Pelodiscus sinensis: one gene and its partners. The protein of the gene in region 1 purifies or fractionates together with the protein of each later gene. This does not show direct contact. Links are inferred from orthologs where the notes say so. Each region holds a gene or a part of one and is shown in the gene's direction. Other genes may lie near its edges.

Region 1 (7,943 bases):
AAAGCACTGATTTCTTACAGTAGGAAGTCAGTGCTTTTGTGGAAATTCAAGTGGCCAGTGTAGACAGCTGGCAAGTTTTTCCCGAAAAGCGGCTGATTTTCCGGAAAAACTGGCCAGTCTAGACACAGCCATTAAGTTTGCAGATGATACCAAGCTGAGAGGGGTTGCAACTAATCTGGAGGATAGGGTCATAATTCAAAATGATCTGGACAAATTGGAGAAATGGTCTGAGGTAAACAGGATGAAGTTTAATAAAGACAAATGCAAAATGTTCCACTTAGGAAGGAACAATCAGTTTCACACATACAGAGTGGGAAGCAACTGTCTAGAAAGGAGTACAGGCAGTCCCCGGGTTACGTACAAGATAGGGACTGTAGGTTTGTTCTGAAGTTGAATTTGTATGTAAGTCGGAACTGGTACATATTGTAGGGGAAATTCTACCCAAACATTTCTCCAGAGCTCAGTTTTATTCTCCCACACCTCACTTCCCTCAGTCCCTTATTCTCAAGCTGAGGTGTCTGCTGAGAAAAGCCGCTCCGTGTCTCCCTGGTCTGCTGGGGGGGCGGGCGCTAGCTTTGCATCTCTCTGGTCTGCTGGGGCGAAGCAGCTAGTGCGGGGTTGCCTCACCCCGTTTGTAAGTAGGGATCCGATGTAAGTTGGATCCATGTAACCCGGGGACTGCCTGTACTTCAGAAAGGGATCTAGGGGTTATCATGGACCACACGCTGAATATGAGTCAGCAGTATGATGCTGTTGCAAAAAAAGCAAACATGATTCTGGGATGCATTAACAGGTGTATTGTGAGCAAGACACGAGAAGTCATTCTTCCGCTCTACTCTGCACTAGTTAAGCTTCAGTTGGAGTATTATGTCCAATTCTGGGCACCACATTTCAAGAAAGATATGGAGAAATTGGAGAGGGTCCAGAGAAGAGCAACAAGAATGATTAAAGGTCTAGCGAACATGACCTATGAAGGAAGGCTGAAAGAATTGGGTTTGTTTAGTTTAGCAAAGAGAAGATTGAGGGGGGACATGATAGCCGTTTTCAAGTATCTAAAAGGGTGTCATAAGGAGGAGGGAGAAAACGTGTTCATCTTGGCCTCTGAGGATAGAACAAGAAGCAATGGGCTTAAACTGCAGCAAGGGAGGTTTAGGTTGGACATTAGGAAAAAGTTCCTAACTGTCAGGGTAGTCAAACACTGGAATAAATTGCCCAGGGAGGTTGTGGAATCTCCATCTTGTGGAGATATTTAAGAGTAGGTTAGATAAATGTCTATCAGGGATGGTCTAGACAGTATTGGGTCCTGCCATGAGGGCAGGGGACTGGACTTGATGACCTCTCAAGGTCCCTTCCAGTCCTAGTATTCTATGATTCGCTGCTTGGCTTGTATTGAGCATGCTTAGGAACACTGCTGAAGCCACTGTTCTCAGTCTGGTCCTCTCCCCCCTCCTCCGTGCCCTCATTCTGCTTCCCAACATGGCAACGTGCACTGGTTGCTCTCTTCCCCCCTCCAAATCTGAAATGGTTTCCCTGGATATGTGCTGCCTAAATATCCCTTCCAGAGTATGTGCAAATTAATTTTAGGATCGCTACATTTTATTTGACATTCCATAGTTACTAATTCTGTGCTCCTCCACTGAGCTGCTTTGAACAATAACCCTCTATTTTTTGTCCTATTTCAGGACTCTTAACCTATATGGCCTGTGTTCTAGGTCACTTCATCCAAGGCCTTCTCTTGGGTGATGCAGGGCCTGGAGCAACCCCTCTTTTGCCCCAGACTCCACCTTCTCCCACCCCTGCTCTGCCCCAATCCATACCCATGCCACCTCAAACCCCATCCTTATCCACTCCCATTGCACCGTTTCCCCAAAGCCCCCTTCCCTGAGAGATGTGAGCTGAGGGATTACCAGGGGCCTGCTGTAGGGTGGCAGCAGGGATCACCCCCATCGTACTCACCATAGTGGTGGGCACTAGAGCGACCCAGCCCCAGTCCGCTCTGCTTCCCTGAGCCAGCATCAATTGGGCAAGTGGGGTGAGGCTGGGCCACTCCGCTTCCCACTGCCACAGTGAAACAGCAACCCAGCTGGAGGATGGTGGTGGAGCAGCGTAGACATATCTGAATTGCTAATGAAGCGGGGATTTAAATCTCCCACGGTTCATTAGCATAAAAATGGCTGTCGCTTTTTTCGGCACGGAGCTTTGTCAGAGAAAAGTGCCAGTCTAGACGCTGATCTTTCAAAAAATAAAGCCTTTTTTGAAAGATCCCTTATTTCAGCATCTAGACTGGCGCTTTTCTCCAACAAAGCTCCGTGCCGAAAAAAAGCAGCAGCCATTTTTATGCTAATGAAGCGCAGGAGATTTAAATCCCCGCTTCATTAGCAATTGCGATACGTCTAATTTACATCCCTTTTCCGAAAAAGGGATGTAGTCTAGACGTAGCCATAAAGAAGGGAAAAGAGAAGTTGGGACCAGCATACACATAGGCTATGTCTACACTGCAAGCTTCTTGTGCAAGAACTGTTTTGCGCAAGAATCCATGGCAGTGTGGATGATCTCTTGCGCAAGAAAGCTGTAATGGCCATTTTAGCCATAGGGGTTTTTTGCGCAAGAAACCTGTTGCCCATTCACACTGCCTTCTTGCGCAAGAGGGCTTAATCCTCTTGGGGAGAGGAATAACTCTTGCACAAGAAACCCTCTGTTCTGACACTTTACTGTAAATTTACTTCCGCAAGAATGTGCGTGTAGCATAGTGATAGAAATGTAGCCGTGTTAGTCTCAGCGTGTAGCATAGACACTGCAGAAGTTTTTGCGCAAGACGGCCATTCTTGTGTAAGAAGCCTACAGTGTAGACATAGCTGTAGGGATAGAAGGACTGTGCTGGGTAGTAACTATTTCCTGCCCTTTTTTGGGGGAGAGAGAGGTTGGTTTTGTATTGGCAGCTGGCCTGCCCAAGACTATGAGTGGTTTACTGTTTACATACCTATTAACAAATAAAGAATATTATACAGAATATCAGGATTTGAGATAAAGATAAAAACATGTTAAGGAGCAATTAAGCGTAATACAGAAAACAGTATTCCTTTATTTGCTGCCCCCCCAATACAGTTTTTATTATGTCTCTCACATGCACTGCATGACTTACATGCACGCCCATCTCAAGATTTTTAAGCCAGTTTTCCTGCACAGCATGTTTGTACTGGTGTTATTCCCCCTCTTCTGTTGTACTGTTAAGTCCATAATGTGCCCACACAAAGCATCCCTTACTTCTGCTGCCTGGGTGCAATGAGCTTCCAGGGTGATAGCTGCACAGAGGGTACTTATGCAATATTCCCTTGTTGTCATAGGTGCATTTAGGGGAAAGGGCTCCTCTCTGATTCACAAAAGTTGTGAAGAGCATAGCAATACAGACAGCATTGATGACACTGACATACAAATAGGTTTGTAACCCTCAAACGTGTTTTTAATCTAACAAAAGCACATTCAACAACGATTCTACAGTTGCTGAGAGTGTAATTACACCTTTTTTTTCCAGTGCCTTTGACATCAAGGTATGATTTCATAAGCCACGGCAAAAGTGGGTATGCAAGATCCCCCAGAATAACATTGAGGATAGTAACACCATTTATGTCAATGTCATTGGGTGGGAATAGTGTCCTAGCCTGTCCATGGATGTACACTCCAAAGTGACAAAAAACTCTGGCATTGTGAACCTTTCATGCACAGCCCACATTAACATTCATAAATCTGCCTCTGTAGTCTACTAGTGATTGTAAAATAGTGAAGTAGTATCCTTTGTGATTTAAATACTCATGTGCTCTGTGAGGTGGGCAAACAATGGGCACGTGATTTCCACAATTATTTCCACCTCCACAATTATGAAACACCCCATTCTCTCAAAGCCAGCAATTACCTCAGGGATATTTTTAAAGCCTGCCACTTTGGGATAAACCACACAAATGATTGTCTCAGTTACTTCTGCCACCACTTTACCCACACTTGAATTGCCAGCCCCTAACTGGTTGGCAACAAACCCTTAGCAGTCTGGAGTACCCAGCTTGCAGATAGTTATAGCTACCCCCTTCTGGACTGGCAAAGGGTGACCCTGTATGTGTCTCTACAGTACAGGGTGGGAAGAAGCTGGTCTCACACTTCCAGAAATGTAGCTTTCTTCATGTGAAAGTTCTGCACCCACTGCTGGTCATCCCAGGGCCGCATGACAACGTGGTCCCAGCAGCCGTGCCAATTATACTGAGCAGCATTTGCCACTGAGAGGCTGTGATGCCAGGATCCGCTTCTGCTGCCTCATACATCTCCCTGCACATCCATCAAGAAAAGAGTCGGTGGGACGGGAAGTGCGGCCGAAGTGCCCACCAGCGCCTCTCTGCAGCTCCGCCAGTTTCCTGACACAGCCGTGAAGGTGCAAGCAAAGAGGGGCTCATCCAAAGGCGAGCCTCCTCCATGTTGCTGGCGCTGGCAGCGGGGAGCGCACTGACCAAAATGGCTGCTCGGCAGGCTTTGCCGGGGCTGCCCAAGCTCCCCGTAAGGAGCAGGGTAGGCCGTGCGGGTTCCCCCCGGTGCGGCCCGGCCCTAGGGCGAGAGCGTCACGAGGGTGGTGCCGCCGCCCCAGGGATACTCGGACAGGTCTGCGCGCGGAGGGCCCCGGGCTTGGGCAGGGCTCGCTAACCCCTAAGCCAGGGCTGCCCCGCAGGCACGTGCTCCCGGCCAGGGTTCCCGGGCGCAGCCAGCGGCTCGGTCATGGGCGGTGCAGCCGCAGCCCGAGCCTGGCCCCTGCAGCCGGGAGCGCGCGAGCGCCAAGCCCCGGGCGGCTGACGCCAGCTGCGGGGGGAGCCGGCTTGTGCGCGGGGGCGCAGGGGAAGTTCCAGCCGCAGCCGTTTGCCCCGAGGCTTGGGGAGGGCGCAGGGACCGAACGGGCGCTCGGCCGGGTGACGCGCGACGGGGCGGGGGCGCGCGACGCCCAGCCCAGCCCAGGGTGCTTGATGGGCGCCGCGTGCCGCACGCTACTCCGCAAAGGCGGGCAGCCGGGCGCGGCGGGACTCCCGGCTCTGGCCTCCAGGCTCGCGCGCCCCCCGCCCGCTTCCCGCCCGGCGCTGCGGCTGCTCCAGTCCGGCGCAGCAGCAGGCGGCGCAGCGCCCTTCCCACGCGGCCGGCGCTGGGGCCCGGCTTTCACCCCCGCGCCTCACTTCCTGTGCGTCGGGCCCGGGGCGGGGCTCGTTCCTTTCGCCGCCGCCGCCGAGCGTCCCAGCTGCTCGCCGCCCGAGCTCCGCGGGGAACAGCCGCAGGAAATGCCCGCAGCCGTTCTCCTGCCGACCGGCAGCGAGCCCGAGACACCGCTGGAAGGCGAGGCCGTCCGGGCGGGCCGCAGGAGGAAGAAGGTAGGGAAGCGGAACCCTGGAGGGGGAGAGGCCGGCTGTCCCGGGATCCCCGGCCGGGGCGGCAGAGGGGGTGGGGCGGGACGATTCCCGCCGGCCGGAGGGAGAACCGGGACCAGGGGTTCCCCATAGACCCGTGCTGTGCGGGAGGCTGGCTGGTCGTGGCTCGCAGCTCGGCCTCCATGGCTGCGCCACGTGGGCGCCTCCCTCTCTCTTTGCCAGTGGCTGCGGGCAGCGCCCGCCTGGGTGAGCCAAGCCCCTCGCTCGGCTCGTGAGCGGCTGGACGTTCGCCTCCCGCCCCGATGCTTTGCCGCATTTCTGCCCCCTTGGCAGGCTGCAAGCGACGGGAAGGGTGCGAGCCCTCCGCTGTGCAGGCTCAGACCCATGTGTTCTCTGGCCCGGCGGGGTCCTCCGAGCGCGCCCTGAAACTGCCCCCGCCAGGCGTCCTATGGAGTAGGAGTTTCCAGCGATACACGGGGACTTGTGTGCACTGCAATCGGAAGGTGCGATTCCCAGCGTGGATAGGATGACTCGAGCGAGCTCTGCATTAGCTAGGGCTTTAAGACCTGTCTACACTATGCGGAAGATTGACGGTGCTGCCTTTGATGTCCCGGGGTTCAGTTTAGCGCATCTAGTGAAGACCCATTAATTCAAACTGAGAAGGTGCCCCTGTTTGTGCTGATATTCCTGCTCCTCAACCGGAGTAAGGGAATCCAGCAGGATCCTTTGTTCCCATCTGCCTCTCCCTGTGTGGATTGTGATTTAAAATGTCTACTCCAGCTATGTAATTAACATAACTGGGGTTGTGTATCTTAAGCTGACCTTCCTCTTTAGTTTAGAGGGACCATAAAATAGCAGAGTGGTCCTTTTGGCATATGTAGTGGCTTGGGCTATCCAGCCACCTGAGTTAGGTGGATGGTTGGTGTTGGCCTGGGGCCATTAACAGAAGCCATCACTTGTGCCAATGTCCGCTGCTGTTTTGAGAGCGTTAATTTGAGCACTGATAACATGAGTTTGTCTGCTGATGCTAGTATTCACTTCTAAGCTGCAGTATAGACATGCCACCTTTTCAGATTGCAACATGTCCCTAGCTAGATTACAGCACATCTGTATCTATAGTCCATCACATCCTGAAGTTTGAGGTTTGGTTTACTGTCTTGGTCCAGTGGATGGGATAGGACACTGGACTGGGAATCATGAGAGAGTTGTGTTTCTGACCCTGCCACTGACCTGTTGCATGACATTGAGCAAATGACTTCACTTCGTGCTCTGTTTCTTCTCCTGTCCTTTGTCATGTCTGTTTTGATTGTAAATGTTTCCTTATTACAAAAATGTGCATGTACAGTGCCTAATAAAATAGAATTCCAAACTCTTCAGTGCCTCTGGAACAGGGATGGGCAACCATGAATGGCCCGCCTTTATGTCAGTGGGCAACAGCAGGCTGCAGTCCATGGGGGTTCCACCTGTGGCTCCACAGCCCTCCTGGCTGGGCTCCTGCCCACACATTTCTCAGTTAATGGAGCCCCACGCTTACCTGCATTTCCCCCTCCCAGCACTTTCAGAGCATTCAAATCGCTCTGTCCTTGCTCTCTTTTCCTCCTTTCCCGGAGTTGGAATGCTGCCTGATTTGCACACCCCAAATCTGTTGGGAGAAAGGGAGGAGGTGTATGAAGTGCAGGGCTTTGTGTCCCAGTGTGTGAGAGAGGTATGGAGGAGGGGGTCAGCCAAGGGGTCCGTGGGCTCCAGGTGGGCTGCAGGTTGTCCACCACTGCTCTAGGGGCTTCTGTAATATAAATATTATCATGTGGTGTTCATGAGATTGTAAACAGGTAGGTGCATGTGACATCCGCTACTAGCCTCAGAACAGTCTGGTTCTCATAATCAGTAGGTAGTAGTCATTATCAGTCTCACTCAGTCACAGATTGTTTATCTTCTTGCAGTAGGGGGGGTAGTTTAATTATGATGAGGTGTGACTGCCAGAAAGCTTTTGATGACAGAGGTATCCTCTGCTCTTCCTGAAGAGGCTCAGGCTTCACAGATTAAAAGTCTAAAGACATTTTACTTTTCTTCATAGATTTTGTTTTTTTGTCCTTTTCTATTTGATGTTGTGTCTCTGAAGGATAAAAAGGAGAAATCTAAACACCATGGTAAAGTCAAGGAACTGAAATCTGAAATAGAGGAAAATGAGCTATCTGAAGATGACCTTGATCCTCCTAAACCCAAAAAGAAGAAAAAAGCTAAAGAAAAAGTGAACGGAGATATTGAAGAAAACAGCTCAGAGGATAAGGTGAAATCCTCCATGAGCAATGGCATTGCTCACTCAAAAGCTCAGTGTAATTCCAGCGAAGCATCAAGTGCAGAGTATGACAGTGACCAAGAGCCAGTAAAGGTACATGCTAAAACCCTTAATTTTATCTGCTTAAAAAATCTAATTGACCAGGTTTACTTTGTGGAAAAGTGTTTAGGGTTGCTAGGAAAAACCTTGTGTGTCATCACTGGTCGTAGCAGAGGATAATAGATTCTGAGCTGTACCTCTATGAGGCATAGCACAGA
Region 2 (7,945 bases), on another chromosome or scaffold:
GTGGCTGTCTGCTAATTAGCTGGGCAGGGCAGCACTGGAATCCCTCTTTGGTGGCCATCCAAGCATTCAGCTTACAGAGAACACTGGTCAAGAGGATGCCCGAGTGTAACCGTTCACAGCCTTGATCCTGAGCCCAGATGTTAGATCGGGGCTCACACCTACCTCTGTGTTTGTGAAGGGTCTTGTGCTGCCGTATGGTTCTTTTGTGCCAGGTGATGTGGGAGTTCCCCATTGCATGAGGGGCTCTGCTTGTGCCTGGGCTGGATCTGCTGTCTGGATACACATACATCATCAGAACCCAGGCCCAGCGACCTGGCATTTCTCCCCAGCACTACATTAACGCCAGGTTGTTGCATTTTCCTCTTGCTGTTTCTGGACGTGCATCTAAGGAATCACCTCCCCCACAAGATGAGCTCACTCTGCTCTTGTTTGTTGTGGCTCTTCCTGCCAAAGGCCCCAGAGGCAACGGAAGAAATCTACTCACCGGCCCCTGACGTAGGGAAATGATAGAACAGGATGGAGAGCGGCAGCCCGGGCCCCGACGGCTCACTCCTGCGTCTCAATTAAATGCCCGAGCCAGGAGAGGTGATGAGTCATGGGCAGTGGCTCCCGTGCATGTGCCGGGGAGCTGGCACACAGTGTTCCCAACGTGAGTGCTCTCCCCACGGACTATTCTTCAGAAACAAATGGCCTGATCAGCCTGCCAGGCTCAGGAGAGCTGCTTGTTGCTCTGTGTCCACAAAGAGATGGGACAGTTCTGGGTAGTGAATGCCAAGCCAAACCACAAACCACAGGGTCACAGTGGGATGCCAGTCACTGGTGTCCTTCGTAGGGCTCTCTCTGATGCATCCGCACACTGTCCTGTGCACACCCTCTCCTGCCTCTGGTTCACGCATAGATCTCGAAGAACCCTCAAAGGCAGGACCTGCGTTTGCAAGAGTGGCTGCTAGTTTGGGATGGGGAAGGTAAGTTAGGGTTGATTTTAAGAGGCGCCAAGAACTAAGAGCTCCCAGTGGCACCTCCAAAAAGCAGGTACAAGTCTCTCCGGCCAGGCACACAAAGCCAGAGGCCACTTTTGAAAATTTCCCCCCAAGTTACATTGTGGCTTAGTGGCCAAGCCACTATAAAACAGGAATACCCGCTCTTCCCACTAGGCAAAACTTTTTAACAAACAGGTTTCAGAGGTAGCCATGTTAGTCTGTTTCAGCAAAAACAAGGAGTCCCGTGGCACCATAAAGACTAAACATTTGATTATAGCATAAGCTTACCTGAGCTGCAATTCACCTTATCAGATGCATGAAGTGAAACTCAAAGGAAACAAATAGGGGCATAGAGATGGGAGTGTTACATCATGGCTAATCAGGATGGATGTGGATAAGAAGGTGAGAATACTTAAAATGGAAATTTCCTACTATCTGATTCCTTTGCCTTTCACTTCATGCATCTGATAAGGTGAATTGCAGCTCATGGAAAGCTTGTAGTGGGTTTTACCCAGGAAAGTTCATGACCCCATATATTTTTGTTAGTCTCTAAGGTGCCACAGAATTACTTATTGGTTCATAATACAATTGTTAGCCCTTAAGGACCCCTTATTGTTTTTCCTAAATAACATTAATGGTTTCACCTTGGAGATGAGACTGGATATCGCACCATTGTGAAATCTGAAAATCCTCCCATAAGGAGGAGCCAGCCCAGAGAACAGAGGCACGGGAGGGCTTTTGCGCATGCAAAGAATATTTCTGCTCGGTATAGCAATGTGAATTTTTTGTTTATTGCAGGAAAGCTTTTTCTCAGTAGGGTGAACAAGGATCACAGAGTCATCAGAACCAGGTAAGAGCTTGTCCATTCCTCTGGGCTAGCGCAGTGCTGTTCCCTACAATGTGTACTGCAGGAAGAGAAGACTGCAGGGCATCTGAGCTGACCTGGGTGGGAGTTTCCTTAAGGAAAGTGGAAAGTTATTTTATTCCTTAGCGCACTCAAGAGGGTTGGCAGGCCTGCTGCTGATTACAAGTTCCTCCCCTTTCCTAATGTCTGGGTCACTTGGGAGGGTGGATAAATCTGTACAAACCCTGTGTACTGCCTGCTCTGCTATTGGGCCAGTGGCCATGGGTAAAGCTGATGCAAAACCATGCTGCCTTGCTAGCCCTCAGAGGGAAATGCACACTTTCCTCCATCCCCAACTCCAATGACACCACTGTTATGCAGCTCACCAGGTGAAAGATGAGTGGCATCTGGTTTGGAAACTAGTAAATAGCAACAGATGGAGTCCAGAATGAAAAGGAACCACTCAAGCAGGCAAATAGCCTGCTCGAGGGTCAGGCAAACACAGAGCTGGCATCCCTGAGAAAAGGCCTGTGATGGAGGGGTGGGGTAGGGCCACAGACTTTGGGAAGAGGCAATGGAATATACATGGAACTCACTCAGATTTCTCCTTGGAATTATTTATTCAGGGACTTCCTCTTGGAATGGGGTAGAGAGAGGAACAGTCACCTTCATTTCTGGGCTTGGGAAAAATAATCCCCTGGCTCCCAGAAGCACTGAACCAGCAAGCTGACAAAACTTTAGGGAACAGATCTACAGATGGTGTAACTGACACAGGACCATGAAGTCAATAGAGCAATGCCATTTCACACCCACTGAGGATCTGCCCTAGATGTATGCAGGAATGTATTTGACACAGTCTCCAATGGATCAGAGAATACATGTGGTGCTAGCGTCTAAGCAAGGGATCAGACAGCAGGGGATGTGCTTAATGCAGTATACAAGGGCTCAAAGAGTAGCCAGGACACTACAGAATGGAAGCTGATCAGTGTGGTTTGCTCAGGAGCCATGCAAATTGCCCCTTTTTTGCTGGTTCTCTTGCACCCCAGTCTATAAGTGAATTATTGGTATCACTACCAGTGGAATAGGTTTTTGACATGGCTCCTCTAGGTTTCTCTTTTTACCTTAAGGAAAGAACTGAGGCTCAGAGAGGATAATGACTTACCTAAGGCCACACCAGCAGTCAGTGGCAAAGTCAGGCCTGACTCACAATTGCTTGTCCTAACCACTCCAGTCCCTCTAGTCTTTCTCCTTTCCTGGCAGTAAGATTATTAGTGGCACCCTACTGTACTGACTAGACTAGTTTCTGCTCTCTCAGCAGGCCCATTTCTGTTGCCTGAAATCTTGGCTTGACTTGACTTAGTCTCATGTATGTGAGAGCTAAATCTCTCACTGCTTGCCTTATTGCTAATACTGTTGGCTTGTTTCAAAGCCCCCCCTGCTGGCGTTCTGCTCATATCCATCAATGCCATGGATACTGGCATTGAGATACTGCTAGCAGCTGCATCTCCTGCTGATTGTGAGTAATGGCAGGAAGTGTGGGTTGGGTGTATGTGTGTGTGAATGTCAGGGATGGGAAATGCACTGAGAAGATAATGTGCAGAAATTGTGGGGCATTGCCTCCTAAATGGTCTTTGGTCTGTGGTGGAACATACAAGGGGCACAGTGGGGCCCAGGCCAGCCCCCAGAGGCAAGGACAGACCATTGCCATACCCAGCTCTGCTCCAGCTTCCTCCCCAGCCACGACCTCTGACTGACCATGCACCCATCCCCATCTCCCACTCTGCACCCAGCTCTGGTGTCAGTCTCAGCCTTAGCCTCTGGCTGTGGCGCTGATCCTGGCCCCAGACCCACCCCCACCCCCAGTTGTAATCCTGTTACCCTCGTCCCTTTTCGCCCTCCCTCTGGAGAGCTGTGGCTCTGCAGGATGGTTTGAGGGTGTATTGACAGGTGTAAGGGAGGGTGTAACCCTGAACAGTTTGGGACCAGTGCTCTCCATCAGGGAATATTTCCTATGTGTCAGGGCCACTGGCGATACACACGAGAGAGACAGGATTTCAATGTTTCTTAATGTAAAAATGCTTCTATGCAGGAAAAGCTGAGCGTGGGTCACATTTTGGGCCCAACAGGGGTGCCCGTGACACAAGATACCAGACTTATCAAGTGCCAAGACACTGTGGCTGTGTCTACACTGCACACCTTTTCCGGAAAAGGGATGCAGATGAGACAAGTCGGAATTGCAAATGCAGCGGGGATTTAAATTTTCCCCGCTGCATTTGCATGAACATGGCTGCCGCTTTTTTTCGGCTCAGGGCTTTGCCGGAAAAAAGCGCCAGTCTATACGGGGATCTTTCGGAAAATAAAGCCTTTTCTGAAAGGTCCCTTATTCCTGATTTTAAGAGGAATAAGGGACCTTTTGGAAAAGGCTTTATTTTCCAAAAGATCCCGTCTAGACTGGCGCGTTGTGCCGGCAAAGCCCCGAGCCGGAAAAAACGGCAGCCATGTTCATGCAAATGCAGCGGGGAAAATTTAAATCCCCGCTGCATTTGCAATTCCGACTTGTCTCATCTGCATCCCTTTTCCGGAACAGGGGTGCAGTGTAGACACAGCCACATGTCTGAACGTGAGGCTCCCTTTGAGCCTGAGGCCCAGGCCAATGGCTTTGACTGGCCCTGCCCCGGCTCAACGTAGTTTCTCTTATAGGCTGGAGTTGCAGTTTCCGGCCGGGGAGCATTGGGAGCGCAGGGCGGAGCTGGGCCGATGCCCCGAGGTCCCTGCCTGGGACTCCTGGGGGCGGGCCCTTGGCGCTGCGGACCGCTAACCAAGTGCCAGGTCTACGAGAACTACAACTCCCAGGCGGCGGCGCGGCGGAAGAAGGGGCGGGGCAAGGCTCACGGGGGCGGACGTGCCCGGCGTATGACGTGAGCAAACGCGCCGCAGTCGCGGGGGCGACAGGGGCCTAGTAGCGGGAGCCGGGCCTGCGGGCCGACATGGCCAAGCAGTACGACACGGTGGAGTGCCCCTTCTGCGACGAGGTGTCCAAGTACGAGAAGCTGGCGAAGATCGGGCAGGGCACGTTCGGGTGAGAGCCCCCCCCCCCCCAGCGCTCGGGTCTGGGCCGCCCCCTGCCCTGCGGCCCCCAGCGCCCCCAACCCGGCTTCCTGCCAGCCCGGCCTTCTGGGAGCGACCCCCCCCCGCCGGGGGCGCTGAGGGATCGACTCGCCCTCGCCCTCCAAAATGCCTTGGTGTCTTAGGAGATGCCCAGGGTCTGAGATCCCCCCCCCCCCCCCCGCCTGGAGATCGGTGAGAGGCTGGTCCATTGCCGGTCTCACCTGCCTTGGAATCTGCGAGCCGGCTCTCTCGGGGTACGTCTGCACCGCACCTGTATTTCAGAATGAGCGATTCCAGGAGAAATACTCAGAAATAGCTTGTTTTGAAATAGCACGTCTACACTGCAGGGGAGCCTCAAAGTTAGTCCCAGTCAGGTTCCCCTAATGTGGATGCGCTGCCTTGATTTAGAGCCCCAGGAGGCCCTAGAGCAGTGTTTCTTAAACTTTCTAAGACTGAGGAACACCCAAGGATTTTATTTTATTTTATTTTTATTTTTTTGCTCAACAAAAAAAAAAGGGGGGGAGTTATTGAGGGGGGGAAAAAAAGTTTCCTGCCCCTCTAAGTTTGGCCATTTTGCACTCTGTTGTTCTCCAAGGCACACCTCCAACTGCCTCGGCGCACACCGGTGTACCGTGGAACACAGTTTAAGAAATGCTGCACTAGAGAGTAATTACTTTGAGTGGCCCTGGGGAGGCGCTATTTCAGAATAGCAGCAGGGGCGTGTCCACAGTACATTGCTTGTGAAATGAGGTTTAAAGATGTTGGAATAAGCCATCCATTATTTTGAAATAAAATTACTGTGTAGATACTCGCATTATTTCAAGATAACATCAGTTATTTTGAAATAACTGTGCTGTGTAGATGCACCCTAGGAGATTGTGGTGCTTCTTGGCACGAAGTGGGAAGACCTGGGCTAGGCAGAGGGTCAGCACTGAGTTGCCTGTAAGCAAGCATAGAAATGTCTTGTTTGGTCTTGGCTGGGGATGTAAAGAATTAGTTGCTGCTCCCCCCCCTCCCCTCCTTATCAGATAGAGGCAGCGAGGGGGAGAGAAAAGAGGAGGGGTACTTAAAAGCAGCAGTGCCACATGGAGCCTGGGGTCAGCTGGGGACTCCAGGCTCCATGTGGTGCTGCCCTTTCAAAATGCCTCCCCAGGCTCCACATGGCATTTCAAAGTGGCTTGGAGCCCAGGATCAGTTGGGGACTCCCCAGCTGACCCTGAGCCCAGTGGGGTGCTGCTGCTTTGAAATGCTGTGCAGAACCCTGGATTAGCTGGGGACTACCCCGGGTTCTGCATGGCATTTTGAAGCAGCAGCACCTCTTGGAGCCCAGGATCAGCTGGGAACTCCCCAACTGACCCCAGGCTCCGTCCAGTATGCCATCCTTGAATTGTGCAAGAGTTGCCAGCGGCATGGAGGAAGCACAGCATGGAGCATGAGTCCCCTGTTAACCCCAGGCTCCATGCGGATGCTTCCTCTTTGAAATGTGCAAGAGCCCCCACTGGTGACTTTGTTCATTTCAAAGCAGAAGTGCCCCTATGGAGTCAGTGGGACTTCCTGCTGGGCTGTGTGTGTCATACCAACTTTGAAATGCCCAGGGCCCTGGGGGCTCTTGTATATTTCAAAGGTGGAACGTGGAAGTGCTTATCAACTAGTAATCAACTCAGCTAATAAATTAATCACTAGTTAACATCCTAAGTCTTGGCTGGCTGTGCCTGCTCCACTTGGCTACTTCAACTCCTCCAGGAATGCCCATGTGTTTCTATCCTCTCTGCAGGGAAGTGTTCAAAGCAAAACATCGGCAGACAGGCAAGAAAGTGGCTCTGAAGAAAGTGCTGATGGAAAATGAGAAGGAGGGGGTAAGATGGCTGGGCATGTGCCTCTACTGTGTCTGGGTTAGAAGGGTGGGAGTTTGCGAGCTGGGCATATGTCTTTAGTAGACAATGTCTCAATCTTTGTGGGATATGGAAATTCATTGTGTGTGTAACTTTGCAGGATCTACAGCAGTAAAAACCAATATAGAAATAATTTCAATTTAGAAAGTGTTGTGCTGCTCTGTGTATTAGGGATGTAAAAGGTTAACTGGATAAACAGTTAAACTGTGGGGGCCGGAGTAGCTCCTGAGTGTCCGGAGTAGCTCCTGAGTGTCCGGAGCAGTCCCTGTTGGCAGTGGGCCTGGGTGCACTGCAGGCAGAGGCTGCTCCAGCCCATCTGGACTGCACCTCCCCTTAATTGGTTAACCAGTTAAACCCCTACCTATGTATCAGGAAGTAACTTGGTTTAAAACAAAAGTCTTTCCATGTTACATGGGTGTCTGAATCGCATCTCTGTTGAGCCCAATAAGATTTCACTTCTGCTCACATGGTAAAGTTCATACATTGAGGAGATGGGGAGCTGCATTCTAATTGGGATCACACATTAACAAGTGTCTCCATGTTTTAATGGCAAACATCAGTATTGCTTTTGCTGGTCATCTCAAGAAGCAACAACACACTGGATTCTCTTCCACATCTCAGGGTTTTTTTTAAGTAGTTGATCCAGTCTGGTGTTCCGGACAGTCAACACAAGCTATTTTAGTTACTAGGTGCTAAGAGTTATAAACTGGAAGTCACTGTGAATAAATCTGGAACTGCACAATGTTGGTGTTAGGCTCTGTTCTGACCCTAGCTGTGGTTTGAGCAGCAGCACTTTGTCTGCTTGAATACATCTCTTTGAGATTTCTGCCATAATTATCTCCTCTCCCCTTTCCTCCCCTCCCCTGATCTAGATTAGACTGGGATCTTCTCTTGCAATTCTAACTTGTGGCTCTTTGTTAGTTCCCCATCACAGCCCTGCGTGAGATCAAAATCCTTCAGCTGCTCAAGCATGAGAATGTAGTGAACCTCATAGAAATCTGCAGGACCAAAGGTAGCACATTTTAGTTCCTCCTTTTTATTTTTTTAACTTACATCAGTTGATCTCTAGTGTACCCTTTATTTTTTTCTCAGTGAAATGCACTAGCCCAATACAAAATAGC
Region 3 (7,609 bases), on another chromosome or scaffold:
GGCAGGGGCAGGGTGCGGGTGCCTGGGCGCGGCGGTAGGAGGCGCTGGGGGGCAGGGTGCGGGTGCCTGGGCGCGGCGGTAGGAGGCGCTGGGGGGCAGGGTGCGGGTGCCTGGGCGCGGCGGTAGGAGGCGCTGGGGGGCAGGGTGCGGGTGCCTGGGCGCGGCGGTAGGAGGCGCTGGGGGGCAGGGTGCGGGTGCCTGGGCGCGGCGGTAGGAGGCGCTGGGGGGCAGGGGCAGGGTGCGGGTGCCTGGGTGCGGCGGTAGGAGGCGCTGGGGGGCAGGGTGCGGGTGCCTGGGCGCGGCGGTAGGAGGCGCTGGGGGGCAGGGGCAGGGGCAGGGTGCGGGTGCCTGGGCGCGGCGGTAGGAGGCGCTGGGGGGCAGGGGCAGGGTGCGGGTGCCTGGGTGCGGCGGTAGGAGGCGCTGGGGGGCAGGGTGCGGGTGCCTGGGCGCGGCGGTAGGAGGCGCTGGGGGGCAGGGTGTGGTGCCTGGGCGCGGCGGTAGGAGGCGCTGGGGGGCAGGGGCAGGGTGCGGGTGCCTGGGTGCGGCGGTAGGAGGCGCTGGGGGGCAGGGTGCGGGTGCCTGGGCGCGGCGGTAGGAGGCGCTGGGGGGCAGGGTGCGGTGCCTGGGCGCGGCGGTAGGAGGCGCTCGTGCTGGGGAGCGGGGCTGCAGCACTGGCCATACCGCGCGCCGCGCTCTAGCGCCCCCTGCTTTCGGCGCCCAGCCGGCCTTTCCCGGCAGGGCCCCGCCCCTTCCGCTGGCGCTCTGGCTGCGGCGTCACTTCCGGGGCGACTTCCGGCGGCATGGCGGCGGCGGGCGGCTCGGGCGCGGGCCCGGCGGCGGGCGGCCCCGGCTGGGACGGGGACTTCCTGGCGCGCTACCGGCTGGTGTCGGCCAAGCTGCGGCGGCGCTTCCTGCGGAAGCCGAACGTGTCGGAGGCGGCGGAGCAGTTCGCGGCGCTGGCGCGCGAGCTGCGGGCCCAGGACGCGCTGCCCTACGCCGCCTGGTGCCAGCTGGCCGTGGCGCGCTGCGCCCAGAGCCTCTTCCACGCGCCCGGCGAGGCGCAGGCGCTGAGCGAGGCCGCGCGCCTCTTCCTGCGCCAGGAGCGGGACCTGCGGCAGCGCCTGGGCCTGAGCGGCGGCTTCGCCGAGCACCTGCAGGCCGCGCACAGCTGCTTCGCCTTCGCCGCGCGCCTGCACCTGGAGCTGGGGCAGCCGGCGCTGGCGGCCGGGCTGTGCCTGGAGCTGGGCGCGGCGCTGCGGGACATGGAGCAGCCCGGCCAGGCCGCCCCGCAGTTCCAGCGCGCCGCCGAGCTGCTGGCGGCCGCCCAGCTGCCCCTGGAGGCCCTGCGCTGCCTGGGCGAGCTGGCCTCCTGCTTGCTGCTCAGCCGCGACTACGACGGGGCCCTGGCTGTGCTCACCCAGGCGCAGCTGCTGGCCCAGGCTGGGCCCAGCCCTCCCAGCGGCGCGTTCCTGGAGGTGTTGGTGCGCTGCGAGGTGTCGCGGGTGCTGCTGCTGCTGCTGCTCCAGCCACCGCCACCCAAGCTACTGCCGGAGCATGCCCAGACCCTGGAGAAGTACTGTTGGGAGGCCTTCGAGAGCGGGGCGGGGGCCGGGCAGCTCCCCCAGGCGGGGTACTTGCCTCCGGGCCTCTTCCTCCTGCTGCAGTCCGCTGTCATGGCCTGTCAGGAGAAGGACCTGGAGGCGCTCAAGGTGTTGCAAGCTGAGCTCTGGCCGCTGCTCAGCCCTGAGCAGAACCACCTGCTCCATCTAGTGCTGCAAGAGATGATCAGTCCTGCTGGTCAGGGGTCCTGAGTCCGTCCCCCCCCACACACATCCAGACTGGCTTCACTTGCTTGCTGCCACTTCCATAGGGAGTCTGTTTCCCACCTGAAAGAGAGGCCTGCCCCACCCACCCGCTTTTGCCTCAGTGGGACTCCTGAGTCCCCAAGTAGCATCACCAGCGGGATAGGCTTTGCCCACCTTCAGCTGCCATCACTATGGCATCTCTGTATTGTCTGCCATCTCCACAGACTAACTGCACCTTCACTGATCTGTTGCTATTTCCCTCATATAGCCCAAAACACTCACCAAACATCACCAGAGAAATTAACTTCATACACCTACAGCAATCATCCAGAGATTAGCCCACCTGGTTCCCCAGGGAAGTGGTCGTACCTTTCTGTTGCTAGCCACAGAGTCTAAGCCCTACTCAGCATCACTACCAGCATGACTCGTTTCATCCACCATGGTGTTCTGCTTCCCACAGCAGCCATACACAGGGTTGTTCCATTTTGGCCTGTCACCACTGTGCAGCCAGAGTTCACCTATCTCCCTGTGACCATCAGCATATAGGCAAGAATTATGTAATGCCACTTGAGACTATTTTCCCTTTGAGGCTGAGGAATGTGGATATGCCAACACTTCCTATGTACTACTTCTGGTTATAGAGAAATGTCCTTTTTCAGCCCCAGCACTTCTCCCATACTCCTCTCACTCACAGATTCAATATACCTATTGCAGGAGATGACCTGATCCATTAGAAACTGTGTGCTATCACAGCTCAAGTTCGTAAGAGGCAGGACTCTTGCCATATTTTATTAAGAGACTGCAAATGGCACTCATTTTCCAAACAGTCCCCAAATGCCAGGATTCAGCCTTCTAGTTTAAAAGTCTCACATTTGTAGATATAATGATTAGTGCATTTTTTCTGTATGTTTAAAAATTAGAGTAGTTTTAGGTATGTGAGCAAAAATACCATTTCTGTTTAAAGTGCTCATAATTCTTTCCATTTAAAAACTAAATGAGAAGCTAAAATTGTATTGTTATGTCCCTTCTGGTCCGGGTTCTGTTTCAGTGTTTCTGTTGCCTGAGATTTGTATTTTCTAACTACCTGGCTCTCCGTCCAAGCTCTTGCTCTGTTAATGTAATGCTGTAGATACATTGGTGTCTCTAGAAAACTATCTATCCTGAAGCCTTGTCATTCTTTAAACTATAATTCAGTAAATATTATAGTCTTAAACTGATTACTGTTCAATGTGTCACCAGCCACAACCTAGGAAATGTGGGGAGGAGTCCCTGCTTGTAGCTCATTAGCCTCACTACTTTGTTGGTTTCATTCAACAAGTAAGTAAAGGTGGGTGTGGAATGTGTTTAATTTTGGCATTGGCTACATATGCTATCTTGCTATTTATCAGGCCTGTTACAGCAGTTTAAAAGGAATGTATGGGTGTAGGGGGAACACTTACCCGTAACTTTGGTCCTCGGATATGCTTTTGCAACACTTGCTAAGGTGTGCATTCTAGGGGAGGGCAAAACTGATCTCTGTAAAGCACAATTAGTTTTTAACTCTTAACTTTTCTATTTTAATGATGAAGAGAATTAAAAATTGGATGGTAGACCCGGTCTGTGATCTAATGAACTAAATCTGGGCCTGGAAGCTGGTTCCACACTATTAACTCTAGTCTTGAACAAATCGTTTATTCTTTGTAGGTGTGCTTTCCTACTTGTATTTGCATTCCCATTTTACAAATCTCTGGTGCAAGTATAATGTTTGTATGGCATTTTCATGATGAAAAATGCAGAATAGCTCTGATAACTGCCCTGAGAAGAGCATGTTGCTGGCCATCTTCTGGAAAGAATGTTTTCCAGCAGAGGATCAACTTTAGTTGTGCTTTCCCTTTAACTGTATTTATGTATCCTAAAGAAACAATTTTGTTCTTTTTGCACACTGAATTCTTACACAAATTGAACCTTCTGGACTTCAAACTATGTGGCGTGCCTGGTCTTTTGTGTGAATAAAAGTGAGGCTGTTTGGAAGCTGCTTAAAAAAATACTTCAAGCCTTTCTCGTAGTAGGAAGTGGAGACAGAATGTCCCTGTAAAGTGCTGGAAATGGATGGGTATTTTGTGTGTGTGTTACTTTACGTGCACCTGTAAACTGATTTTTGCATATAAGAGTGAACTTTACACTAATGTTTTGAAATGGGCATATGCGCTGAGGTATGACTAATGAAGCATCTTTCTACTGGAACTCAGAATGGAGTTTCCTTTGTCTTGAAGCTGAGTTTGTGTTAGTCTCAAGCCTTGCAACAAAGTGCAGTACCAGAGAGCACGATACCAGGGATACAAATGTTAGAGAGCTACTCCTGTATCTTACACCTTTCAGATAAAATTGGGCAAGAACAATGTTGCAGCTGCCCTGCCGTTGTGGAAGACTCACCCACTGAACGAGGAATGTGTCCAGCAAAGGGGACAAAACAAGCTTAGTCCTAAGACAGTCATGCAAGCCTGGAAGCGGTTTGGAAGGGCTTTCCTGGCTGGATCCCTCCCGCTGGGTGGGGGCCCTGCCATGCTAGCGGGCCTCTGTGGAAGGCAAACCCCTCGGCACCGCGTTTACACGGCACAAGGGCCCGGCCCAGCGGTCGGAGCCCCGGGAAGGCGGGGTGCGCCTCTGCGGGGCCGGCTGCCCGCAGCTGTAACAGCTTCCGGGCGCCTGGATCCTGGCGGGGGCGGGCTGAGCCTCACGCGGGCCCGGCCCGATTCGTCACGTGGCGGGCCGGCAGCTCCTCCCCCTCCGGGCGCCTGAGCACGTGACGGGGCCGGGCCCGCGCGCGGTGCATCTCGGGACGGGGGCGGCCCGCCAGTCTCTCTGCGCGCGCGGTGGCGGCTGCACGCGGCTGGCGGGGCGAGCGGCGAAGATGGCGGACGGGGAAGGTGAGGGGCACGGGGGGCCTGGGCCTGTGTCGGGGCGGCGGGGGCCCGGCCGTTGGGCGGTGGCTCTGGGCCCCGGGGGTGGCGGGGACTGCGGGGGGGGGGGCTCGGGGGGGCGGGGACCGCGGGAGGATGGCTCGGGGGGGCGGGGGCTGCGGGGGGGGGGGGGCTCGGGGCCGCGGGGGGGTGGCTCGGGGGGGGGGCCCGGCCGCGGGGGGGTGGCTCGGGGCCGCGGGGGGGTGGCTCGGGGGGGGGGCGGGAGCCGCGGGGGGGTGGCTCGGGGCCGCGGGGGCGAGGGCCGCGGGGGGGGGCCCGGCCGTTGGGCGGTGGCTCGGGGGGGCGGGGGCCGCGGGGGGGTGGCTCGGGGCCGCGGGGGGGTGGCTCGGGGGGGGGGCGGGGGCCGCGGGGGGGTGGCTCGGGGCCGCGGGGGCGAGGGCCGCGGGGGGGGGCCCGGCCGTTGGGCGGTGGCTCGGGGGGGCGGGGGCCGCGGGGGGGTGGCTCGGGGCCGCGGGGGGGTGGCTCGGGGGGGGGGCGGGAGCCGCGGGGGGGTGGCTCGGGGCCGCGGGGGGGGGCCCGGCCGTTGGGCGGTGGCTCGGGGGGGCGGGGGCCGCGGGGGAGGGGGCCCGGCCGTTGGGCGGTGGCTCCAGGCCGCGGGGGGGTTTCCGCGCGGCGCCCCGGGCTGACCCCCCCGCTCTGTCCCGCGCAGGGGGCGCGCGGCGGCACAAGCGGAGGAAGGAGAAGTCTCTGGCGGACGCCGATGTCGCGGTGAGTCTCCGCGGGGCCGGCGGGCTCCTCGTGGCGCCCCTCCCCCCGCTGGCCTGCAGCCTGGCTCGGGCGTCGGCCTGACGGGCCGGGCGGCCGCTTTTGGGGGGGGGGGGTTAGAACCGTGTCTCGGGGCCATGTCTGGACTCTCGCCCTGCGGCCGCGGCCGCTCCACAATTGCCCGCTCCAGCTGCGCGGCCTTAGCTGAAGTCAGCACGCCACGTGGTGTCTTCCATGCATTGAGGTGCGAGGGGAGGGGGCTGATGCTCTCCTCATCCTGGTGCAGTGCCCCAGCCGAAGGGAGAGTGCTTAGAGACTGATTTAGCATATCTGAAGGATGCAATAAATAGAGCACATGTACTGAAGAAAAGCCCTAACCGTTTTAATAAGGGATGTAAAAGTGTATCTATGCGCACAGTTAACCAATAAGCCTGGGCTCATCAATTAATGCGCATGGTTACATGCAGGCTCCTTATATGCATGGGAAGCCGGCTTAACAGCCATCTCCCCATGTGCATCAGCTCCCAGGGAGCCACCTGCCGCCCTGTACACTAGGGCTGCATCTACACTGGCAAGTTTTTCCGCAGAAAAACTTGACAACTGTCTACACTGGTCACTTGAATTTGCGCAAGAACACTGACGATCTAATGTAAGATCGTCGGTGTTCTTGCACAAATACTATGCTGCTCCCGCTCGGGAAAAAGCCCTCTTGTGCAAATGCTTTTGCGTAGGACGGCCAGTGTAGACAGCTAAAAACTATTTTGCGCAAAAAAGCCCCGATAGCCCCAATTGCCATTTTCGCCTTCGCAAAACCGCGTCTAGATTGGCACGGACGCTTTTCTGCAAAAAGTACTTTTGCACAAAAGTGTCTGTGCCAATCTAGACGCTCTTTTCCGCAAATGCTTTTAATGGAAAAACTTTTCTGTTAAAAGCTTTTGCGGAAAATCATGCCAGTCTAGACGTAGCCTAGGGGTGGGCAATAATTTTTGAAGGGAGGCCCTTCCCAAAATTGTGGAAAGTGGTTGAGGGCCACATTCTTCCATAGTATTAATGGAGATGTGGGGTCTGGGATGGAGGTTGGGTGCAGAAGGGCGCTTGGGGTAAGGGTCTGGGATGCAGGAGGGAGACTGGAGTCTGGGAGGGAGTTGGGTGCCAGATATGGGAGGGGGTATAGGTGTAAGAGGGGGACAGAAGGCTTGGGTATGTTGGGGGAGAGGGGAGAGAGTTGGGGCAGGAAAGGGCTAGGGTGCCAGAAGCAGGGTATGGCTGAGAGACTTGTCAGCTGCCAAAGTAGCCTGCCTACCTGCAGAGCTTACAATGTTAGCCAGCCAGCCTGCCTGCCTGGCCATGTGCTTCATGGAGAACTGGGTCTAGGAGAGGGGGCGTGACTCTTCTTAGCTGCCTGTTGTTCTAACAAGCAGCTCGCATTGGCTGGTTTCTGCTAGAAACCAGCCAATGGAAATATACTGAGGGCAGGGCGGTTCTTAAAACTTTAAATGGAGCCCTGCAGCCTTGTTTCTGCATGGGGCAAGAAAGGGAGCCTGCCAGGGGCTCCCTGCTGCCTCTGCAGGTTGAATCTGGTGGCTTCGTGGGCCAGATTTTGCCCAGGACTGCCATACATGCAGGGAGCCTTCTCTCTTCACGTTTACACAATTACTTAAATTCATTTTAACAATGTTATTCACACTACAACAGAAAGTTGACTTAAGCTATGCAATTCTAGCTACCAGTTGGAGTCCGCATACCTTAGTTCCAGTTACCTTGAGGTCTTCTCTATGGGGGGCTGACAAGAGAAACTCTCCCATCCACTTCCCTTACTCTTCTCTTCCAGGTAAAGTAACAGGGTGAATTAGAATGGTGATCTGCGGTTGATTTGTCAGGTCTTCACTAGACCTACTAAATTGATCACCAGTTCATCAATCTCAGCGCATCCATCTGGGCTGTAGTGTAAATGTAGCTACAGTAACCTAAATGGTTGCCATTTTAGGCCTTCATTTGGAGGATGGAGGGGAAAGAAGCAGCAGGACGGAAGGCAGGGTAGTGTTGTTTCTTGCCTTGGTTTTGGTGTATGCTGTCCATGGGGACACAAGGACCTGAGGTGGGATAGTGTTATGTCGGAGAATGAAGACGTCTTTGTCC

The links. The genes of interacting proteins can lie anywhere in the genome.
Region 2: the proteins of DDX21 (region 1) and CDK9 purify together in Homo sapiens (affinity purification with mass spectrometry; 3 studies listed by BioGRID and IntAct, with this or other methods). This does not show direct contact. The link is inferred for Pelodiscus sinensis from reciprocal best matches to the Homo sapiens genes DDX21 and CDK9.
Region 3: the proteins of DDX21 (region 1) and DKC1 purify together in Homo sapiens (co-immunoprecipitation; 3 studies listed by BioGRID and IntAct, with this or other methods). This does not show direct contact. The link is inferred for Pelodiscus sinensis from reciprocal best matches to the Homo sapiens genes DDX21 and DKC1.

The regions. Positions count from the first base shown.
Region 1 is NC_134718.1:28,634,648-28,642,590, forward strand, and holds the start of DDX21 (nucleolar RNA helicase 2), read left to right. Parts: upstream 1-4,928; 5' UTR 4,929-4,997; coding exon 4,998-5,393; intron 5,394-7,509; coding exon 7,510-7,779; intron 7,780-7,943.
Region 2 is NC_134732.1:10,828,198-10,836,142, reverse strand, and holds the start of CDK9 (cyclin-dependent kinase 9), read left to right. Parts: upstream 1-4,940; 5' UTR 4,941-5,058; coding exon 5,059-5,186; intron 5,187-6,706; coding exon 6,707-6,788; intron 6,789-7,745; coding exon 7,746-7,836; intron 7,837-7,945. UniProt on the Homo sapiens protein: Protein kinase involved in the regulation of transcription.
Region 3 is NC_134723.1:737,194-744,802, forward strand, and holds the start of DKC1 (H/ACA ribonucleoprotein complex subunit DKC1), read left to right. Parts: upstream 1-4,604; 5' UTR 4,605-4,695; coding exon 4,696-4,711; intron 4,712-5,414; coding exon 5,415-5,473; intron 5,474-7,609. Other genes in the region: 40-kDa huntingtin-associated protein-like, read left to right, coding at 801-1,811.